2 linked regions of the Drosophila melanogaster genome follow. The protein of the gene in region 2 interacts with the protein of the main gene of each other region in a biochemical or structural test. Each region holds a gene or a part of one and is shown on either strand. Other genes may lie near its edges.

The links.
Region 1: the proteins of Pym (region 2) and mago are reported together in a solved structure, tested with the Drosophila melanogaster proteins (one study listed by BioGRID).

What each region holds. Positions count from the first base shown.
Region 1 is NT_033778.4:21,126,829-21,130,531, forward strand, and holds mago (mago nashi), read left to right. Parts: upstream 1-1,748; 5' UTR 1,749-1,865; coding exon 1,866-2,126; intron 2,127-2,184; coding exon 2,185-2,367; 3' UTR 2,368-2,909; downstream 2,910-3,703. Other genes in the region: Tmtc3 (transmembrane O-mannosyltransferase targeting cadherins 3), read right to left, coding at 1-191; magi, read right to left, coding at 3,047-3,480, 3,537-3,703. UniProt on the Drosophila melanogaster protein: Core component of the splicing-dependent multiprotein exon junction complex (EJC) deposited at splice junctions on mRNAs. Involved in exon definition of genes containing long introns, including the rolled/MAPK gene.
Region 2 is NT_033778.4:23,855,387-23,858,910, forward strand, and holds Pym (partner of Y14 and mago), read right to left. Parts: upstream 1,551-3,524; 5' UTR 1,497-1,550; coding exon 873-1,496; 3' UTR 568-872; downstream 1-567. Other genes in the region: bgcn (benign gonial cell neoplasm), read right to left, coding at 1-72, 132-485, 1,804-3,313. UniProt on the Drosophila melanogaster protein: Regulator of the exon junction complex (EJC), a multiprotein complex that associates immediately upstream of the exon-exon junction on mRNAs and serves as a positional landmark for the intron exon structure of genes and directs post-transcriptional processes in the cytoplasm such as mRNA export, nonsense-mediated mRNA decay (NMD) or translation.

The sequences.
Region 1 (3,703 bases), 2.7 Mb from region 2:
ATTGCGCTGATGTCATCGAAAACAAGCCCGCACTGAGTACTGTTGTAATAGCAGACTATGCAGGCTACGCATATACACAGGAACTCGAGCAGGTTGCGCTGCGGCGAGTTTGTGGCTCCTTCCCGCTCCCGTTCCCTCGGCAAAGTGGAGGGTGCATACTGATGGATTCCGGGGTTGGGGTTCGTTGACATGTTGATTTCGCGTTACTTCGTGAAAGGCGTCATGTACCCACAATTGTTCGTTCAGGCGGCGAAATGTTGCATGTAGGGCTTTACCCAGCCACGGTCGGCAGGTCCCTAGATGGCCTGGAAAAAAATGAGAAAGTGGGAAAACCATTAGTTTAAGTTAACTGGAAACTAATTAAGTATACAAGTCCACCAATTTAAGTATAGACACTTCCTATTAGTGAGAAAGCCCCTAAATGTAGGCAACATACATATCTATATATTTTTTTTGAAAGGGGATTCCCCCGAGCAACAAAATTGTGCAGTAATGTATATGTAAGCCCTCGCATCTTTTCTGGATACACACCCAAATCCTCTTACTTTCCATAGTCCTTCATCCGCAACTTACCGATTTTCCCCCAAGTCAAAGTCTTTTTAAAGACAAACTTTCTACCGCTTTTTATGAGCACTTGAAGTTATACAAAGAAGCAAAAACTGATTGCGGAAAAAATCAATTAATACGCAACAAAGTAACTCCTTCCCGGTTACTGTCCTGGTTACCGACTGCACACACAAAAGCCCGAAGTTAACAAAGTTGTAACCCGGGCGGACCGACAGAGCTCCGGATCCGGACTTTGGGTACGCACAAGTACAAGTATGCGGACGGAGAGCGCTTTTAGAGAGGCGAAGAGCGCGTGAGAGATTTGTTTGCATAAACTGTTGTAAATGTTGCGGGACCTGGAGCATTACTAGGCGGGGCACATCGGTGGGCAGATGGGCGGATGCCACAATGTTGCACTCAATGCCATCGATTTTCCGGGCGTTCAGTCAAAACAAACCACCACAAGCGAAGTAAGCGCTCGTAAAGAGCGAAAAAAGGGGCCTAGCTTCAACGGGAGCTGGAGAGGATTGCATCTCAGCTGAGCGCAACTTTGTTGCACGACCGACTTTTCCCGAAGGACGACCGGGCGGGCACGTGCTCCGTTTACCCTTATTCCATTTTCCCGCCAAGAGCGACACATGCGCGGTCCCGCATCCTTGCACTTTCACTTGCCAGGACGTGCGCTCTCCGTGCTCATGGCTCTCCCGCTCGCCGAGCGCAAATTAATGGCCGTGTGTGTTTTTGTAAAATTACTTTGACCGAGATACGGGGCACTGGAGAAGGATAAGGACATGGCGATGGCTATGGGCGCTGGAACCGGAGAGCCAGCCGCATGTCCTCTCCCATTTTAGTGACATGGACGCCATTACAACGGCGATGGCCTCGCACACGCACACAATCACACGGCCGCAAACAAACCCGATTTGCCAACTTTGTTTCAATTCGCCAATAATTACAATGTTGCCCAGCGAGTTTCGAGCACCGTTTAACAGATGGGTTCTCACACACCGCCCTGTCGTTCACATACTTGTTGAGGTAGTTCCATGGCATCCAAAACTGAATTACATTTTAATAAAAATCAGTGCCAAATGCGCGACTTGTACGTGGATTATTGTTGTGTTATCGATACGCCGATAGGCTGGCTTCTCTTCCTCATCCCTGCCAGCCATTCGCAGCGAACACTTATCGATACGCGGTGATAGTTATTCCGTGTGTTTTCCCATCTCTAACGCGTTGTAGTAAAGGAAAAAGAGTGGGAAACCAAAAATTGATATTTTTCTGAAAGTCTTTCAAAGTTACGCTTTAAACTAGAAGCAATCATGTCCACGGAGGACTTTTACCTACGCTACTACGTCGGACACAAGGGCAAGTTCGGGCACGAATTCTTGGAGTTCGAGTTCCGGCCGGATGGCAAGCTGCGGTACGCCAACAACTCCAACTACAAGAACGACACCATGATCCGCAAGGAGGCCTTCGTCCACCAGTCCGTGATGGAAGAACTGAAGCGAATCATCATCGACTCGGAGATCATGCAGGAGGACGATCTGCCCTGGCCGCCACCAGATCGCGTGGGTCGACAGGTCGGTTTGCCGCACTCCGTAACTAGAGCTCAACTAAACAACCATGTGTCTTTTTCAGGAACTGGAGATCGTCATCGGAGACGAGCACATCTCGTTCACCACCTCGAAAACGGGATCATTGGTGGACGTGAACCGGTCAAAAGATCCCGAGGGCCTGCGATGCTTTTACTACCTGGTGCAGGATCTCAAGTGCCTGGTCTTCTCACTCATCGGCCTGCATTTCAAGATCAAGCCCATATAAGCCGTAGCCACCACCTCAAGCATAGCCTATTTATCGGACGGACACATCGTATTTTATAATGGAACTTCTACGATACTTGTAATTGTATAAGCTATACCTTTGTACTTTTTGGTACAGTTTGCAGTGAATAAAAAAGGATTGGAAGATACTTTGTTTTCAAAGTCTTGTGTACAGTCTAGATTGTGCTATAGAAGTAAATAGCAAATCTTCGATGTAGTAGCAGACAACAAGTTTAACAATAATAGCAAACACAATAGTAAACCATTTAACTTTTGATGTTATAATGTGTAGGTATATTTGAAAAATACAATTTAATATCTATTGTGTTTGAATAATATACATACTCGAGATAAAAATTTAAAGTCCTTTACATTTGTACAATTCGTATATGTCTAAAACAGCTTAAGCTAAGTGATTAATATCTCACAAACTGGCAAATTGTCTTAACGTTTAAGTACAAGCAGTAACTTAGCCTAAGATAATGATCGGTATCTTAAGAAACTGGAATAAAATACGCACTCACATACGGTTTTGAGACTTGCAAAGGGTTTGGCTTACATATGCTACTAAATTCAGTCTTTGGGGTGAGTACTTTGCTAACGAAAGTACAAACTAAGGGCCTGCAGGCGATGCAACACTATAGAAAGCTCTTATAGAGCCGAATGCGTAGGTCTCAGAGTCATAATTGTGGCTGCTGATGCAGCGCCAAAGTGGCTGAGATATTGTTACTGGGTCGCTCCAAATAGCTGCCATGTCCTGGCACGGGCATTGACATTGGCATCTCAAGATGCTGGTGGTGGTGATTCAGCTGCGCTTGCTGTAGATGCTGCTGCGGAAGTTGCTGCTGGTGGGAGAGTTGTGCCTTCAGGAGACTGGGAGATGCCTGCAGCGGAGTGTTGCTGGACACACCGACGCTACTGCCGCCAGGACTGGGACCACCCTCCTTCAGCGGAACGCCGATAGTGAGACGCACATGAAGACCAGACTCCTTGATGAGATTCACTACATCGCCGTGCGACATGCCAGCTATCTCGATGCGGTTTACTGCCACTATGCGATCGCCCACCTTGAGCTCTCCACAACGATCCGCCGGACTGCCGGGTATTAGTTTCCCTTAATACGTTGATATGTTAGATGAATTGAAACAAAGTCTAAAGTCAGTGGCATACCTATTGTCGAGCCGTAATAGTGGTTCGATGATGATATGATAACAAATCCGAAGCCCTCGTTTTCATGCCGGCTGACAATCACATCATAAGGATAACGACGCAGTTGTGTGCTGACTGGCGCCTGCTGCAAAAGCGGAGTTCGACGACGGCGAAGGATCATGGTAACC
Region 2 (3,524 bases):
TTGGCTGACTGGTCTCGCTTAGCTCCTCGTAGGCCTCCTTGCTTATCAGACGGAAGCATTGTACATCCCCTTCTACGGAAAACGCAGTGCATCAGTTAGTGTTAACAATGTATGACGAGCTATGTACTTACTATTGGGCTGAAGGATTAGCTCCCTTCGCAGAAGAGCGTCCTTGGCCACCCATTCGAAGCGATCATCGCCGCTGCAGCTCGTGGTATCGTAAACATTGTTCAGCCGGCAGGCGGTGTCTATTTGGTACTTGAACGGCACCTTCAGGCAGAGCGATTCGATAATATCCGTGGCCAGAACCACCTTCACCGTCTCATCGCTGGCATTGACCAACGCCTGGAGGTAGTCATTCCTCATGTTATCGTACAGCAGGAATATGGAGCACTCCTGCAGGCTGCCAGTGAGGCAGTGGCTCAGGATCATGTAGTTCAGCTTGACAATGTGGTAGTAGGTGGGTAAAATGATGAGGATGTTGCCTGAAAATAGGAAAAAGGTAGTAGACTTTCTCTCATTCTTTCCACATGGAGGTTAATGATAAAGAGCAGCCTGTGAGCGTTTCGCTTCAAATGGGTTTAATTTATTAAATCTGATTTACAAAGTTACCTATACATAAATAAACGCGGCGATTCCCCATTCGTATAAACTAGGTTTCAAGACAGACACACATTACTAAAATAGATCGATATTACTAAATGGCTTGACATCTTCGACTAAAACTAATATAACTATTCAACAGACATAGGCATGTATGTGTTCTTTCGTGCAGAGGCGGCGCGACTTCTGGTCGGTGATTTGTTCACGAGGTGAGAGGATATACTCGTAGCAGTATCTGAGTGGACTGGAGCTGGAGCTGGAGCAGTGGGCTATGAGCGCGGCGTGCTCTCCAAGTCCTTGATCTGGCGCAGGATCTCTGACTTCTTTTTCACCTTGTCCAGCTGGTCCTTGTCCAGCTTCTTCTGCTCGCCGGCCTGGATCCTGCTCTCGATCTGTTCGATTTCCCGGATTTTCTTGCGCAGCTTCTTCAACTGCTTGGCAGGGTCCACCACCTCCTGGGCGGCGTCCAGTTTCAGGGTGTCCTCCAGTGTCTTGGATATCGAGTTGATGTCCCGGCTGCCAGAGGGCTGCTGTTGCTGCTGCTGCTGCTGCTGACTGACTTTGGGTGGCGGACACGTGCTGGGCGGCATAACCAGGACGCCGGGCGCCGGCGCCTTTGGCTGCCTGCCGGATTCCTTCTCCTGCTTCTTGGCCCTGGTGCGCTCCTGCTTCTCGCGCTCCTTCTTGGACTCGGCGGCCAGCAGGGGACACATGCCAGGCGGCACTCCGGCCTGGCGCTGCGCCACGAACTGCTTGCCCTTGCTCTCGTAGAGTGGCACCTCCTCCTGCGGCACGTAGCCGTCCTTGACGCGCCGCGCCTTGCGCCAGGTGCCATCCGGCCGCTTGGTGGCCGGAATGAACTTGCCCTCGCTGCTCTGTAGGTACGTGCTCATCTTGCTGCTTCTATAAAAAACAATGCCCACTCGCCAGGCGATACTTATCGATAGCTTTGCTATTGCGGGTGGAACCTTTTGCGCGGCGAGATCGAATTTTCATGCGATTAATCGCGCACGAGCTTGCAGAATCATTCACTCTCAGCCGTTCCAACGCGCACTTTTCAAATCGTATTTTGAATAATTGCTAACCGCTTCCTTTCTCGCCTATATAACCCTTAGTACCCATTCAAACCATTTTTGACCATAACTAATGACTAATAACTTACTAAATATGTTCTATAAGCCATGAACACCTGGCAAACACCTGGCGAATACTCACCTGGCGAATACTCCGGTTTGGTGCGCAGCAGATACATGATGTCGATAATAAGATCATAGTCGACGAAATCCGGCTTGGCGCTCTTCACCACATAGCCGTGCAGACTGTAGCTGTTCAGGACATCGATGCACTCGTGGTTGCCGTTCATGGCCGCCAGTGAGATGGCGTTCTGCTGGAACAGGTCCACAATGTAGGGATCAGCGCCCATGAAGAGCAGCAGGCGCAGATGATTGGCCTTGTTCAGTTCGGAGGCGAAGTGCACCGCCGTTTTGCCGGTCAGCGAGTGGCGGTAGTTTACGGGAGCCAGGTCGTAGTTTACGGCGTACAGGAAGGGACGTAGGGCGGCGTCCGTGCCCAACTCTCCGTAGGCCTGCAGGCACTTGTCCATCTGCTCGTTGCGCGGATTGTTGGCGCGAAAAGCCTCCGGAATCTCCTTGTAGATGTCCGGACCCTTGTGGATGCCGGCCAGGGCAATGCAGCTGTGCAGCTCGTTCAAGTAGGAGACACGTGGTGCGACCTCCGGCTGCTTAATCATATTCAGTTGCAATCCCTCGCCAAAGAAGTCGGTGAACTTCTTGGGGTTTCCCATTTGCGACAGCAGCACCACCCTCAGGTTCTGATGGCTACTTAGCGCCATGCGTATCTCGCTCAACAGGATGTCGGTGTAGGGATCATGCAGGTGGACATCGTTCACCACCAGGTGACTGATGTTGCGAAACTGCTGGCTGGTCAGCGAGCGCAAAAAGTACTGCGCCGTCGAGTAAATAATAAAAGTGCTGGAGCTAACGGCGCTGAAGTACGGCAACTGGATGCCCACCGTCTCGCCCAGCTGCTCGCCGAAGAAGTTGGCCGTTCGCTGGCTGTTGTAGGTGGCCAGAATGGCCTGCCGCTCGATGCACATAATCTTGACGTTGGACTTCTTGTTCCGGCAATCGTCCAGAATGACCAGGGGCAGGAAGACGGACTTGTCCCAGCAAAGCGCAGCGTTATAGACGATCACCCGACTGGCGTACAATGACTGCAAGATCTCGTCGCTCAGCGAGTGACCCAGAAAAGCAGTCAGGAAATTCAGCTGCGCCTCCGTCCAGAAGCGCAGGTTAGGAGGACGTATGGCGGGCAGCGGCAGATGCAGTGACGGTAGGTCCGAGGCATTGGCCTTCATGGAGACGAGGTCCGCGTAAAGCTCCAAATCCTCCTTGCCCATCAAGGACTTCCTGCTCAGCAGCGTAAACATGTTCAGCGTAGCGCCCGAGGACAAAACCAGCGTCTTGGGCTCCTCCAGGTAGTGGCGACATGCCTGCTTGTACACCTTCACGCAGCTATTCCCGTTGACATGGACCACCTGCGATCGCAGCCCCAAGGAGCGGGCGTTGTTGGCGAATGCTTCGTGCTCGCTGGTGCGGAATGTGCACGGGAACTGCTGGCAGCAGCGCCGTCCCGCCAAGAAGTAGAGCAGCTGTTGCGGAATGTACTTGTCCTGGATGATGTGGTTCATTTCTGCTAGCTTCAAACAGATTGACACTAAATTAAGTGAAGTGCGCCGCAATGCGCGCGGCAATTGCAAGTTCCGTTATTGCCACCGTCGTGAAAATAGAAAAATGGCGGAATGGAACACAGGGCTGTATTTTCGCTGGCGCAAAGCTTGCTCATTAAGGGTATTCCTTGCATATACTCAAACAAATGTGTAGTGGAAATTTGTAAAAAAA